3 linked regions of the Arabidopsis thaliana genome follow. The protein of the gene in region 3 interacts with the protein of the main gene of each other region in a pairwise test. Each region holds a gene or a part of one and is shown on either strand. Other genes may lie near its edges.

Region 1 (4,971 bases), on a different chromosome or scaffold from region 3:
GAATCTTTTGATATGTTATATTCCCTAAATATTTATCAGGAAATATCTTATTACAAAACCTGATATTTTCTGTCAATTTGTTTTTTTTTTTGTAAATTATTTTTTAAATAGCACACAAATATTAATGTGTTTAAAGTTAGAACTCAAACCAATTTATTGCGATTTTCTTAAAGAAGTTTAGATAATAAGACCTAAAGTGAAAACAGAAACTATTTTCTTCTTTTTAGGGTTTACATATATTAAATTATAAGTAACCTGTCATCTTTTTAGTGAATAATCAATTTTTTTTTCCATAAAAAAATCTTACAAAAAAAAAAAGTTGACATATTTGAATTTATCCAATTAAGGGGGTATAATTCAATCAAATTAAAATTTAAAATCCAAATTTAATAAAGTTTGAAATCCAAGCAATTCATTGTTATGTTTAAATATGGTGTTATAGGAATGGTTTATATGTTTGTATTATTCCAAATTTATTTTAAAAGTGTTATAAATTTAATAAAATCTTAACCTAAGCATAATCCATTGTTATTCATTCACATATGGTCTTACTGGATATGATTTATATAAATCATGCTTTGGTAATTTTAGCACAGTATAGTACAATGTCATTTTTTTTCCGTGAACAGTTCGTTATAACTGAAGAATTTTATGAATACTGTTAATATACATTTTGGATCTTTATCAGGGTCAAGACTAGCATCGACTAACACAAGAGAGCAAAGTAGATTGGCAATTACCTTTTTTTTGTCAAACAATTGGCAATTACCTTAAGATTAAAAAATCACATGCATTAAATTTTGAAAAAAAAAAAATGGAGACTTCTGATTCTTGTCCATGGACAAACACATTTGTATCCTCAAAATAAGACCATCCAAAAAGGATCCATGAGAAAACTTAAAACAATGAAACCAATGTACTCTTTCAGATAACCAACATGAAAAAATATTTCACCCAAATCTCTCATATCACCCGACACTTTAGACTCAAAAACTATTAGACCCATAACGACTCAGCATTCAGTAAAACCCGACCCCAAGCGATCCCCCAACCACTTGATATGACTCGACAAAACATGTATAGATAGATAGTGCCAAGACAATGGTAGACTCATGATGCATCAAAACATTTCGAGGCTTAATTACCTCGCCAGGATTTGGCAACTTAAATGATGACGCTTCTTATGTTGAGGGACCACTTTCTTCTGTTTTCTTTGCTTCACCAGATTTCTCTGCCTCGCTCTCTTTCTTTTCTTCTGCTTTCACTTCAGTCTTTGCCGTCTCCACAGCTTTCGCTTCGGTTTTCTCCTCCGTTTTTGTCTCTTCCACAGTCAATTTCTCAAGAAGGCCAGCAGTGTCAGCGGCATCTTTGCTCTCTTCTTTCTCTTCTTCAGACTCAGCAACTTCCTTGAACTTTTGCATAAATGTTTTGCAATCTGACAAGGAAAATAAGATTTGATTACCCACAAGCATCTCTACTTTTCCCGGTTAATATGATCAACAGCTCAGAAACTACTGATAATATTTACCCAAAATAAAAAAAGAAACAGTCGACCATGTTGGCATATCAAATTAGTTGCAGCCTAAATACATACTTGACCACCTCAAGAACAATATTATCTCTTTACAATGCAATACCACAACCTAACCGCCACAGTACTTATTTTGATATTTCCTGAACCCAATAACGCATGCCTATGATGGAAGCTTTGAGAACCTCCAATTAACAAAGTAGCCATATAGCAATGCTAAGGTCAAGATCCATCAGTAATCTAATCCGTGAATCTATCAAACCAACTGAGACTAAATAAGGCAAAACACAAGCCATTACAAAATTCGGTTTCATACTCACTCTCAATAGAAGCAAATCGGATACAGAAAAGCTCATCCTTGAGTTCACCATCAGCAAAGTCACGAGCGTGCCACACACATGACTTTTCATTCCCAACGTGTTCCTGAACACTCATGCCCGATTTAACTGCAGAAATATCAGAAGCATAAGACTAGATAAGGAAACAGTAACCTAAATACAGATCCAGATGCAACTCAAAAACAACACAAAGTAGTCCAAATAGAAATTATACCGAAGTGATTAGCACAGATCTTCAAAGTTTTAGATTGCCTCATAACGAGACGAATCTTCCCAGTGTTCTTATGCTTTAAGAACTTCACAGTACCAGCTCCTCTCTCCTTCCACTGATTCGCATCCTTATCGAATCGATAAAGCTTCGATTTCCTTTAGATTCACAAACAAAAATTCAGTCAAACACACCAAAAGCTAAACCTTATAAATTCGATCAGATCCAGTTGACCTAGATCAGAAAAACTATAAACACCAATTAAGAAAAACACTTACAGATCAAGGACGGCATCTTCGTCTTCCTCGCCGGTAGTGACGGCAACCTCCTCAAGCCTAACGATCGGAGCGACCTGAGCTCCGGTGTCCTCATCCTCGTTAGCTCCGGCCTCTTCCTCGTCTCTGTGCTCGTGCTCGGGTTCGTTGGTCGCCATAGTATTTACTGAGATTTCCTCGTGGATTCAATTGGTCGCTACGGTGCGGCGTACGCGAGAGAGATAGAGAGAAGAGAATTTGGGGGTTTCGCAACACAGGAAATCGGAACGACTCATAGTTATACGGCGTTGAATTGAAGCTAACTATGGGCCGATTTCTTATGACAAAAAATATATATGGCCCATATAAACCCATTGTATCTGGGTTATTTTTAAAGCTATTTATCTCAAGGGAAATTAATCCTTTTTTAGAGAAATCTTAATGATTTATAGCATAGAGATTAGAGAAAAATCTTAAAGATCGAAAAAAGAATATGATGATATGCTTGAGCTAAACTCTATGTAACGACTTCGTTCAGTTTGATACATAATCGTACATGCATAACCTTGGTCCTTCAGGCCTAGTCGAAACAAACAACCATCTTCAACCGGTCCGGTTCCCTCTATGATTCATTTAAATGCTCCAAAATCCGAATACTTATTAGGATGAATCAAAAGTCTTCTAAAGCATAAAACCAAAGTCTCTTTTGGCCTCTTGAGTCTTCCACCAGCTTACGAACCAAAACCATTTGTCGCAATATTTTTTCACATTAAAATACAACTATTTGGCTGTAAACGAGAGTTATCAATATAAGGCAATGGCTCGTAATTAAGACACTCGATCTCATCTCACCGCGTAAAAGATAGTTTTGTCCGATCCGAATCACATGTGCAAACAAACAAAACTTGAGGCTGTGATTAAAAGACAACGTTTCGAGTTTATTGCTTTGATTATACTGATACAACAAATACATAGTGAGAACAATTTCCCTAAAGATACATGTAGTATAAACCATAATTTCCATTAATAAATGTAAAACCACCACAAATTCATATGGCAGCGCCGCCGCCGATCCCCCGTTTCCAGGCGGTAAATTCTGAGACATAGAAACGTCAATTATCGCCGAGTCACCAGCCACGTCATCGTTTGGATCCGATGATGTGTTATATTCCGATTCTACCCTTGTGGATCCCGAATATTCCATTGTTGTCCCTTCCTCTTCCGAAGCGTGGCATCTAACTTCCACCCAACCATCTGACTCCCAAATTACTCCTCCGGTCGTCGCCAAATTACAAATTATTGCCTTCGCCGCGTCTTCGAATTCTGATCTCCCTACTTCCTCTTCTTCTTCTTCTAAGTCAAACCCCGAGTTGACCCAGTCAAGTACGCAACGCGGAGATGACTCAGTCGGAGATGAGTTGTGACACTGAGAGAGAAATGGATGCTGCAAAAGCTGATCGCAACTCCACCTCTGATTCGGGTCTCGCTTCAGACACTTTTCTAGGAAATCACGGCCGATTTCCGACAACTTCGAGGGGAAAACCGGTAACTCGTCAGAGAAACTGATTCGACTCAGCGAGTCAATTCCGTGGTCTTCCCAAGCGGGTTTCCCAGTGAACATCTCGATGATCGTGCAGCCGAGAGACCAGACGTCACTCTCCGGACCTTGGTACTCTCGTCTGATCACCTCCGGAGCCATCCAAAGCGGACTTCCACGTGGCGTGATCAGAGCCCTCGGTGTGTGGATTCTGAACGCCGACCCAAAATCGGCTAACTTGACCATGGAGCTTTGGCTGACGAGGATGTTCCTCGCCTTGACGTCGCAGTGAACGAATCCTTGAGAGTGTACGTGGCGGAGAGCAGAGACAAGACACGCCGTGTAACGCTGGAGCAGAGTCTCGTCTTCGATTTTTCCTCCGGCTCTGTGACTAGCCACGTCACCGTTTGGGAGATACTCTAAGTAGAGATTCCTAAACGTCGTCGTTCCTTCTTTCGAGACTCCGTCGCCGAGAAACTTCACGATGTAAGGGTGAGGCTTTAGCGAGCGGAAGACAGATATTTCGTTCTCGAGAGACTCTGATTGAGTGGGGAGACTCGTGGCGAGATCCACGGATTTCACGGCGAAAACTTCACCGTTGGTTTTGCTGATCGCCGTACTAACTGCACCGAAACAACCTCTGCCGATACACGCACCACGAACCCAAAAAGAAGATGGTGAGGATAACATTAAAGAAGAAGAACAAGTGTTTCTGATGCTCTGTTTCTCCATGTGTGCCAACTTTCATATGTCGTACTTGTGCAACACGAAGCTATTTATATGCGTGTTTTGGAACTGCAAAACAGAAAATGTGAACGTGAAATAAAGTTGCAATTTTTTTTGTTTCTGACATGGACTATTCTTGTACACTTGTCTTTTCGATTTGTAAAGTCTCATCTTTGTAAAATTTCCCACGTGGATATGTCATGTACAACACAAACTTTCGAGTCTATCATTAGATTTTTGAACAAATTATACCATGTTCGATGGTCGGTTTGGATTTTAACAATTTTAATTATATATACATCTATTGAAATCTAGACTTAATCCTTACAAATTTTTTACTTTTATGGAATGATTAGTCGTTTTGAAAAGAGAACAAA
Region 2 (4,639 bases), on a different chromosome or scaffold from region 3:
GGGGTTGGATACTGCTGATTTGATAAGTGAAAAGGAACGAAATATCTTGAATCATCAGCATAGAGGTCGCCATAATGCTGCAGTGATGATTGATTTCTGGTAGAAAGAGATGACCTCTGAAAATCTGATGGTACACCATTACTATGGTAAAACATTTCATTTATCATGCCCTATATCAATTTAATAAGAGATAGGAAATAAATGAACACATCATGAATATCAGAAATCAAAATCAAGTAGTGTGGAAGGCGTAGATTAGATGATTTACGCACAGGAGAGACTTTGTCAAAGCTAGGAACATCCGAGTGTGAGTGGTTCGACCTTGGAGTATCAGCTGCATATTCATTGAGAGAACGACGACATTAAAGAGCAACAAGGAAATTTCAAAACAGTACTACAATAACAGCTAAGAAGCAATAAAATCCACAATTTTGGTCACAAGACAAACATGGCGAAGCAGAAATAAAAAAAGTGGTAAAGATTTTCATGGGTATGCGGCAATGTTTCCTCTAGTGCACATATGAGAATAATCCAAAACAAAGATAACAATTTGGAATAGTCCACATAAGTAGGTGGACTTCATTATAAGAAAGAATAATCAGTTCTCTTGGTTTAAGAACATAAAACAACAGTAGCTTTTTCTTCTCCAAAAACCAAAATCAAGTTGCAAATGAAAATGCCAAAATACCAGAGAGAAAACAAAACAAAGGTCACAAACCAGCAGAAGATTAGTTGTAACCACTAAACTACAGCTAAAATACAATAGAACTGATTAGGAAAGGATCATATAGATCTAACCTCCAATGTGAAATGATTCTGTGCCCTGTCCACAAAAAGGGCGACTGCTAACTATGTCCTGTAAAATCATAACACAATGTGTCATATTGGTGCTAGCTTACATTATATGACACAAGCAATTCCACTAATCACTCACCTGATCTTGGAGAACACTCTGGTCAGTATTTAGGCCCGTAAATGAACCTAAAAAATCCATAAAAAGCAGACAGACACAACCACCATAAGTAAAAAGCTAAACATGAGAGAATAATCATAGGATCAAGGTGAAGTGGAAGAATCTAACAAAGCCTAGTAAGTGAGAGAATCCCAAAAAGGTTAAGGCTTTACGAGAAATTACAACAAGAGTGGGCAAAATTCATCAACAGACAACGTAATCTCTTCGTTAGAGTGACGAAACAATAAAACCCACGAAAATAAAACGAAAAAGGTTCAACATTTATCATTTTTAAAGAGAAGCAAGCGAGGCTTACCAGTAGTAGTAGTAGGAGGAAACCAGTCGGTGCTTCGGTAAGAAGCGGCCATAGAAAAAATCAGCCAATCGGAGGCAAAAAGGAAGAGAGACGATAAAGTTAGACAAAAGCGAGAATCTCTTTGATACTGAAAGGAAGGTGTTGAGAGAGACTTGAGAGAGGAATTGTCGAATTTTGAGGATTTTGGGAGTGTTTTTGGGTGACGCATGGAAATTCGTAATTATTCTTTTAATTAATTGAGTTTTATTTTCTTTAATATGATTAATTAATTAAGTGGATATGAATGCAGGTGAGATAATTTTGTATAAATATTAGCCAACCATTTTTAACTGATCGTTAGAAAGAAACCAATGTGGTTTTTACGAAATAATTTTCACTAATTAGAGAGATTATTCAACTATTTAGAGAATGTAATCTGCCTTTTATTAGTAGTATCCGAAATTTCTAAGAATAAGAAAGGCTTACCTGATTTATATTCTAGTTAAAGAACAAAGAAATTTGTTGGAACAATCTTGTTGATTTCTGGCTGTTTAACCCAATGCTTTTCTATCCATTTTGTTTATTTTTTTATTCTGATTCATAAGTTTACAAAGATATTGTTTAGCTTACCAAATCCATAATACATGTTGGGATCCCAAACTACAATGATAATAACGAAATAGAAAAATATATACACATAATGGAGATTGATTCGAAAACTAAGTAAAGCTTCCATTATATTACTGAAGGTGTAAATGGTTGCCGCGGTTAAATCTGTTTGCAGATATTATTATTTTTTATTTACAATTTATAAATTAAAATTTATTATAATATGAACTAAGAAAAATAAATGAAATTTCTCGCAGACCGATCATAAACCGATTTTACATTAAATAAAGTTGGTTTACATTGTATGTCCTAAAAATAAAATGAACTAAACCGCTGACGGATTTATCTGTATCTACCGCTGCAACCTACACTCTTTATAAACAAATTTATTATTTTTGACACATCTTATAATCTAATTGATTATTTAAAATATTATCTTTTAAATTCTCTAAATCGCACTATATTAAAATATAAAAATTATTTTGTTGGAGAAACAAACCTTAAAAAAGATATATAAAATTATTTGTTCAAAAAAAATGTTAAATAGAAATTAAAGAAAGAAAAAGAGAAAAAAAAAACAAATTGAGAAGAAAAGAAGAAAAGCAGCGTCGTAGAGACGCGAAGTTAAACAACAGGTCAGAGAATAAATAGAAAAACCAAAACCCTTTAGCGTCTCCCAAATCCTCTCAATCCTCTGCTGCTCAATCTCTCATCATCGGCATCGCTCTCTCTAAAAATGTCTCAGATGGATCCCGACGCTGTATCTAAGGCCTTCGTCGAACATTACTATTCCACCTTCGACACCAACCGTGTCGGTCTCGCTGGTCTCTATCAGGAAGCTTCTATGCTCACCTTCGAAGGTCAAAAGATCCAAGGAGTCCAGAGCATCGTCGCTAAGCTCACCTCTCTTCCTTTCCAGCAGTGCAAGCATCACATCTCCACCGTTGATTGTCAGCCTTCTGGTCCTGCTTCCGGTATGCTCGTTTTCGTCTCCGGTAATCTCCAGCTCGCCGGAGAAGAACACGCTCTCAAGTTCAGCCAGGTATCTCTCTCTCTTTCTCTTCGATTTCCGATTGATCTATCTTTGTTTGGATTTGTTTGATTTGCTTGTGAGTTTAGTTATTAGATCGCTAGGGTTTTAGATTAGCTGATGGATCTGTAAATCTGACTCTTTAAAGGATGTAGAATTGCAAATTCGTTGCGACTTGTTATCTGATTCGTTTTGAGCTACAATGATCGATGATGTTGTGACTCGTGTATAGCTCATTGATGAAAAACTTTGCATTAGTCTCTGTTTAGTCTCGAAGAACAAGTTTGGCTCTGAGTTTTGTTGATTAGATTGAAGAGAATTGTTTTCCCTCGCCACAATTGATGGATTTCTTGTCCATGAATGAGATTGAATAAGCTGGTTATGTCGATGTTATGTATTGTTTGCTTTGTTATCTCTGATCTTTTTTTTGTTTTTTTTGGTATCTTTGATCTTGTTCTAACACAACTACAAAACGTTTGGTTTCATTGTGTGCTACAGATGTTTCATTTGATGCCGACGCCACAAGGAAGCTTTTACGTGTTCAACGATATATTCAGGTTGAACTATGCCTGAACAGAAATCAGATTGTTGTTAGCATACATCATTGTTGCATTTCTATACTATTTGAGCAAATCCTTCTATCAATTTTTCTCGTCTTTTTCTTGTTATTCCCAGATGATTTACCTTGGGAACAGAGGAATATTGTCTCTCATCATGTATTTGGTTTGGATTGTTTGTTCATTTGTCATTACAATCTATTGACTTTATAAGACAATTTGAATGGTCATTTGGCTCTTGTTCTTTCTGGGAATATGCTTTTAATCCGAATATATTTGGATGGTCCAAGCTTGGCCTGTTAATGTGTCTAAAGGTTAACTCTTATCTATTGCAAGACTTGCAAGTAGTTTCAATGAACACCTCTCTATGTATAAATAAAGCCATAAGTTCTAATTTAGTTCAGTTGCAACATTTGACCGACTAATAGTGAATTGAAAAATGAAGTGTATCTGGGTCATATTCTGAGTTTTGTCGATTTGTTTGTGGGGTTGCAGTTGGAGATTGCTTCAAGTTTTCAATAATTTATTTACTTGATAAGCATTGCAAGTGTCAAGCACAAAAGTTGCAGATTCCCACAAACCAAATAAGAAAGATCAATTTTGATGTAGAATTTTGCTTCTTTTTCAGAAGAAAAGTCTCAGCTTCACTGATTCGACCGTTGATTCAATTTCTATGGCAGTTCATAATTTTCAGAACGTTATTACAATCTTAAGCTTTTAGTTAATACTTAACACTACGTTGATCTGCTTTGATTTTGATATAAGTTTTGGTTCCAATTAGATTTCGTGTAGTTTTCTTCACCCACCCACTACTATCAGACTATCAGAATCTGAAAGTAACCCACTTTAAAAATTGACAACACACGCAACGAAACACAAAGCGCCAAAAATTAAGGAAAAAAAGGTTTGTCGTAATCTGATACTATTCACGCGATGACCTCGTTTTTGATCATCTTTTCCTTTTCTATATTCTTTTCTCCTCTGTCCCAAACGATTCACTTTTCTCACCATCTCAATCTCCAGACCAAAAGAAACAAAAAATGGATTCTTTTTCATATTCTTCGATGAAATCCATGTTGATTCAAGCTCGTGGCTCGTTGAACTCGCGTTTGTCGGAGTTTGAGCCACTGGTTCTGCTATTGGTTCCGCTTGTCTCTCTGTTTCTCGCTCAGATTATCGGATCTGTGTTTGGCGTT
Region 3 (6,248 bases):
ACCAGAGCTAATCCAAACTATACACACTCTAGATTGAGTATACACACAAACATATCAATGGAGATATGTATACTTACTAGTATCCATCCCTAAGGCCACCAAATTTCTCTTGTCCAGCAGTATCCCAGCAGTAAAAACGGATCTTTCCGCAGTTTGTGAAGAAATCCAAAGGATGAACCTCCACACCAATAGTAGCTGCAACAAACAAGATTAGGACTCAACATCAGATGATGTTCACAGAAATTGTGCATTCACAAGCATCTTTGCTATACTTACGTTCATACTTCTTCTCAAACTCCCCAGTAAGATGTCTCTTCACAAAGGTCGTTTTCCCTGTACAAAACACCAAGAGCAATCATAGGTTTAGCAAGAACTAATCAAAAACATTGAACCATACTAAAACTGAGCCAATGAAAACAACATTCCGGATCATCTAAGAATCGATATCCCAAAGATCTGCTCAACGAAGGCCTAGTCTGTAAGGTTCTCTTTAAAACCAATCAAACATTGATATTATCAAAAACCAATCGTACAAATCTAATCAGCACATCATCAAAATCTCAAATCCGTCTCTTAAACGAGAATGCTTTCAGATGGGGACAGTGAAAAGACGATCAAATTTCAGAGATCACAAAAAACAATAGGTCAAAAAACACGGCGAAGAATACTGTACCTGTGCCTCCATCACCAACGATGACGAGCTTGAAGCTAGGATAATCTACGGTTTGTTGGTTAGGTAGAGCCTGAACAAGATATCACAACAAAATTCAGTAAAATCCGAAAAAAGAAACATCAACGAAATTAAGCGATCTCGTGAGATCTAAATACTACAAGACGAAGAAATCGGGAAAAGAGAAGAGAATGTTCACCATGTGAGAGGAGAAGCGAAGTCAGACGTTGATGTCGTCGAGGTTTAAGAAGCGATGCGGCGAGAGGGACTAGGGAGAGAGATGGGGTTTTAATAAGGAGAATTTTGGGAGGTTTTGGCTTAGGTTTGACGCTATTTTTTCCACCGTTAGATTCCATCTTTTGGCTCTCCAATATCTACGCAGCTTTCTGCACCGTTGGATCTTTTTTTTTTCAGCTTTAGGTCCTGGTTTTGAGTTTTGACAAAATAAATAATATATTTATTTCCTGTATCGTATGTGAAGTTTTGATTTTATTTGTAGCATAGTTTTTTACTAACAAATCATTTAAATAAGGATTTATTGTCCGTAACGGATAGTTTCAAAATTTCAAGTACTCACTCACATGACATCCATCTAATGATGCCTTTCAAATTTAATGGTAACATATTAATACCAACAATATTTCCAGAAATTAATATACACATCGATAAATTCTTAAGCTCAAACTTGCAGAAATTGGTCTTAGAGCTCACGGTTGAAGAAAATGTCTGGAATCACGGATTGAAATCGGTCGTTGATTTGAGGGAAAGGGTTACTTCATTCTTCAATGCAAGAATGGTTGCCAAACAAAAAGTTATCCGATTATTATTCTACAAGTTCTGGTGCGGATTGATTAAGAAGATCAAGTTTCAAAGAAGAAAAGGAAGAGGATTGCAGAAGAATCTGCAAAGCTAGAGAGATCGGGGAAGGCAAAGAACTTAACCATTGTCAATGCAGGTCAGGTCTCCCAACAAGATCTACTTGCAGCTAATTTTACCCAGGTTTATATGACATCACCTGGTAGCTAAAGAGTGGCATCTGAAATCTAAGAACTGGCAAGTAATAGGAGGTAGAATAAAGTTTTCCAATCAACTAATATTCTTGCGAAGAAACAACTTAGCTTTGGATACCATCAGAAGAACCATCCAAAAATACATACCTAATTTTTGTTATAAGAAAGACCGATTGATTTATATGTAACACCAAAACAACATAGAGAAAACCAAAAGGAACAAGCAAGAGCTTCCCACGGCAGACATTCTAGAAGGATGATTTACTCAAAGATATCATCATCGTCATCGGGGAGGGGTTGAGCTGCAGCCTGTAAGAGCTCGGCCTCGTTCTTCTGCTGATCAGCAATGTCAATGTGAACCTCTGGTGGAGCAAGCGCTGGTGTCTCCACAAAGTGAAGGTTTTGGTCTCCAGCCAGTTTTCTAGCAAGGTACAAGAAAGGCTTCTCAAAGTTGTAGTTGCTCTTTGCTGATATCTCATAGTACTGCAGATTCTTCTTCCTGTGGAATGTAACCTGCTTTGCCTTCACTTGCCTGTTCTTCACATCAACTTTGTTCCCACACAGAACAATCGGGATGTTTTCACACACCCTGCAGAGATCACGGTGCCATGTCGGAACATTCTTGTATGTGAGCCGTGCTGTGACGTCAAACATTATTATAGCACATTGACCATGGATGCTGCAAGAAATTCAAAGATGATTAGCTATACATCCAGATGGAATATCAAAATTAAAATTCAAGTTCTACTCTATTTGTCCAGGTAACAAAATCAGTTGCAAACTATGCATACTTCAAAACATACCAGTCTTATACCCATTGTCCAGGTTAATCGGTTGCCAATTTCAAATCCTAACCAGAGCTAATCCAAACTAAGCACACTCTAGATTGACTCTAGACACTAACCTATCAATGAGAAAGTAAAGGGTCCACACTTACTAGTATCCATCCCTAAGGCCACCAAATTTCTCTTGTCCAGCAGTGTCCCAGCAGTAAAAACGGATCTTGCCACAGTTTGTGAAGAAATCTAATGGATGAACCTCCACACCAATAGTAGCTGCAACAAACAAGATTACGACTCAAAATCAGAATCATTTAAGAGACATGAAGAACAGAAATCTGAACATTCACAAGCAATACTTACGTTCATACTTCTTCTCAAACTCCCCAGTAAGATGTCTCTTAACAAAAGTAGTCTTCCCTGCACAACCACCAAAAGCAATCAAAGGTTTAGCAAAACAATCAAAACACATTACCATACTTGAAATCAATTGAGCCACTGGATACAACAGTACGGATTATAAAGAGTCGACTAGCAAAATCTGCTTAGCATATGAGCCTATCTCTATCACCCCAATCACCATCAACGTAAATCCAAGCATTGATTAATCGATAAAAAAAAACACGGCGAAGAGTACCGTACCTGTGCCTCCATCACCAACAATGACAAGCTTGAAGCTGGGATAATCTACGGTTTGCTGGTTAGGTAGAGCCTGAAAAATATATCCACGACGAAATTAGAAACTAGAACATGGAAACATCGACGCAATCTCGTGAGATCTGAGACGGAGATAATCCTAGATCAAGGTATACAATCTGATAATACACGAAGAAGAAATCGGTAAAATCGAAGAGAACATGTACCATGTTTTCGCAATCGCGAGCTAGAGGAGAGCGAATTCAGGCGATGGTGTTAAGAAGGAAGCGGCGAGAGGGAGAATGAAGATGGAGAGGGAGAGAGAGATTGGGGTTTTTAAAAGAGAAATTTGGGAGGGTTTGGCTTTGAGTTGACGCTACACTATTGGCCGTTGGATTCTTTCTCTTTGGTTCTTCTGCAATTTTAACGCAGCTTTCTCCACCGTTGGATCTTTTTCTAGCTTTAGGTCCACGCGTACTCATTCATCGGCATTGATTTTTCTTTCCTTTTTTCACATTTAGCAAATTTTGAAATTAAATTCATTACAATATATACGCGTTGGTTTTGACAAAATAAATTATTTATTTTCTTTATCATATTTATACCTCAATTTTTAATAATAGACACCATTCATCAATAAGGATTTTTATTGTTCATAACGGATAGTTTTCAAATTATTCTTGACACATGCCAGATGGGTTGAATTTCTAAATTAATGTACACTCCAAATTCAAATCACTCACTATTGACCTCAGCGGTGGATCTCAGGTACAAAGCTATGTCGATTATTTTGTCTCAAACAATCTTTTAGTTGGTTTTCTCTTTAAGCTAATGAGACTGAGTTGGAGAAGAATATACTCTTAAGATGTAAAATGTAAGCTTGGTTGAATCGAAGATGTTATGCTGAACAACCATTTGAATGAATAGAAACTAGTGTACAAACATTGTTTAGAAAAGCTTAAAGCGCTAGCCGAAAAGGTTTCAGAAAGAACCACAGACAGTAGAGAAGAAATAATCGAAATTAATCTGTGACTCTGAAATTCCTACTTCCAGAGCTTACGCAGAGACATGTTCTTCTCTGTGTCTTTCTTCATTACCTTCGCCACAGCCATCTCAAAGTCTTCCTGAGTCACATGTACTCTCCTCTCACGAAGTGCAAACATGCCCGCCTCCGTGCATACAGCCTGACCGTAATAACCAAAAACATTAGAGAGAGACAGATTGGAGAGAACAAGACAGAAGCAGGGACAGAGAAACACTTACCTTCAGCTCAGCACCTGAAGCACCATTCATCTTCTCTGCAATCTTTTTCAGATCGATTCCACGCATCAAATTCATTTTCCTTGAGTGTATCTTCAAGATATCAAAACGTGACTGCAACACATATTAGAAATATACATTAGCCAAACCGTCCTGCCTCACTTTGGGTACAATAAGTATGGAGAAAAGTATTTTACGCAGTAAATGATAGTTTACCAAAAACAACGGAGTGAGCAAAGTTGCTACTTCAAGTTTAAAGTTATTTCTAATATCATGTCCTAAGAAACACAAGCATTACCTCTTCATTAGGATTAGGAAATTCAATTTTCCTATCAATCCTTCCAGGCCGGAGAAGAGCTTGATCCAGAATATCAATACGATTTGTAGCCATCAAAACCTGCAACAGTCATTTAAGAGAATTAACAACTTTGTCTGCGAAATTCAGAGTAACACAGAGTTATCCTTTTCAGCTTCATGACTATTTTTTCATTCACAACATAAGGCATACCTTGATTTTGTTTGACGCCTCGAATCCGTCAAGTTGATTGAGAAGCTCAAGCATAGTCCTTTGCACCTCACTGTCACCATTTCCACTACCAGATTCCATACGAGCAGACCCGATACTATCGATTTCATCCATGAAGATGATTGATGGTGCATGCTCCCTGAAAACCATAAGCCAGAGGTACTAGAAAGGTAAGCTAGCTGGAATAAGTATTTTTCAGCACAATGAAGATGATTAATGGTGTATACTTTGCTCATTACAAAAGACTATTACTGTGGCCTAAATGCTAGGCATCGAGACTACTTGTAAAGATCATTATGCTTGAGATCGTATACATGTTGAAACCATATTCATAGCAGGAACAGAGAACAATTTACTCAATTTATTTTACTCCACATGTCCACTACAGCTACTAAGCACGGGCATGTAAAAGATTTATCGTGTCAAAAGTTCCATCTTTTCCAACCTACCACTTTTACCATGCTTGAAATATTAAATAAGGACTAGCATGTACAAACCTTGCCATCACAAAAAGTTCTCTGACCATTCTAGAACCTTCTCCAATGTATTTCTGGACCAGCTCAGAACCAGAAACTCTGATGAAAGTACAGTCAGTGTGATGTGCCACAGCCCGAGCCAATAGTGTCTTCCCAGTTCCAGGTGGACCGTACAACAACACACCCTTAAAAGAGAGGGAGAAGCAATCAGTTCGAAATCCACTTAGCAGCGTCACAATATAGATAAGCTTTGAAATTCAAGTGTACCTTTGGCTGCGCAATTCCAAGAGACTCAAACAATTCAGGATGCTTGATTGGCAGTTCAATGACCTGATAAACCAGTAAAGATATTATATAAAATTTAAAAGCATGAAACCAGTGACTTTTAGTATCGTTTGTTTCTTTCACTATGCATACCTCCTTTATTTCCTTGATTTGCTGGTCAAGACCACCAATCATGTCATATGTGGAGTCTGGAACCTTCTCAACTTTCATAAGGTTAACCAAGGGATCTACTTTACTTGGCAGAACCAGGTGGAGAACATAGCTATCATTACGGAGAGCAACTCTCGTTGATGGAGTGAGTTTCGTTATGTCTATACTTTTGTCAATATCGACAACATACTTCCCCTCTGGATGAACCTGAAACATGGGAAAGTATTATTCTATCAATGTTCATATGATTGCAAACAATTCAAAAACCAATCTAGATAATACGATAAAAACATTCATACCTTAACCAAGACCTTGTTTTTTCCCATCACTTTTACCACTTCACCCACATAGGACCCAGGTTCTTGAAGGAGCTGTAACTCTTCTCTGAGCATTCGTACTGTTCAGTTTACAATGACAACAAGGTTTAAAATGTTCAGCAGTATACATCGATTGTAT

Evidence for each region. The genes of interacting proteins can lie anywhere in the genome.
Region 1: the proteins of RAN-1 (region 3) and SIRANBP interact in a two-hybrid assay, tested with the Arabidopsis thaliana proteins (one study listed by BioGRID).
Region 2: the proteins of RAN-1 (region 3) and NTF2B interact in a two-hybrid assay, tested with the Arabidopsis thaliana proteins (one study listed by BioGRID).

The regions. Positions count from the first base shown.
Region 1 is NC_003070.9:2,191,179-2,196,149, forward strand, and holds SIRANBP (Pleckstrin homology (PH) domain superfamily protein), read right to left. Parts: upstream 2,659-4,971; 5' UTR 2,511-2,658; coding exon 2,356-2,510; intron 2,236-2,355; coding exon 2,084-2,235; intron 1,978-2,083; coding exon 1,852-1,977; intron 1,436-1,851; coding exon 1,182-1,435; 3' UTR 501-1,181; downstream 1-500. Other genes in the region: MAPKKK13 (mitogen-activated protein kinase kinase kinase 13), read right to left, coding at 3,101-4,600.
Region 2 is NC_003070.9:9,744,329-9,748,967, forward strand, and holds NTF2B (nuclear transport factor 2B), read left to right. Parts: upstream 1-2,482; 5' UTR 2,483-2,592; coding exon 2,593-2,898; intron 2,899-3,384; coding exon 3,385-3,443; coding exon of another isoform or gene 3,444-3,459; exon of another isoform or gene 3,460-3,826; intron 3,827-3,938; coding exon 3,939-3,978; 3' UTR 3,979-4,139; downstream 4,140-4,639. Other genes in the region: ECT9 (evolutionarily conserved C-terminal region 9), read right to left, coding at 1-170, 273-334, 799-856, 935-981, 1,269-1,320; DPL1 (dihydrosphingosine phosphate lyase), read left to right, coding at 4,484-4,639. UniProt on the Arabidopsis thaliana protein: Facilitates protein transport into the nucleus. Interacts with various nucleoporins and with Ran-GDP. Could be part of a multicomponent system of cytosolic factors that assemble at the pore complex during nuclear import.
Region 3 is NC_003076.8:6,757,441-6,763,688, reverse strand, and holds RAN-1 (RAS-related nuclear protein-1), read right to left. Parts: upstream 3,596-6,248; 5' UTR 3,326-3,595; coding exon 3,323-3,325; intron 3,172-3,322; coding exon 3,102-3,171; intron 2,880-3,101; coding exon 2,823-2,879; intron 2,736-2,822; coding exon 2,618-2,735; intron 2,360-2,617; coding exon 1,942-2,359; 3' UTR 1,359-1,941; downstream 1-1,358. Other genes in the region: RAN2 (RAS-related GTP-binding nuclear protein 2), read right to left, coding at 78-195, 277-333, 674-743, 870-872; AT5G20000 (AAA-type ATPase family protein), read right to left, coding at 4,139-4,279, 4,359-4,469, 4,654-4,752, 4,864-5,020, 5,379-5,542, 5,625-5,687, 5,775-5,999, 6,092-6,189. UniProt on the Arabidopsis thaliana protein: GTP-binding protein involved in nucleocytoplasmic transport. Required for the import of protein into the nucleus and also for RNA export. Involved in chromatin condensation and control of cell cycle.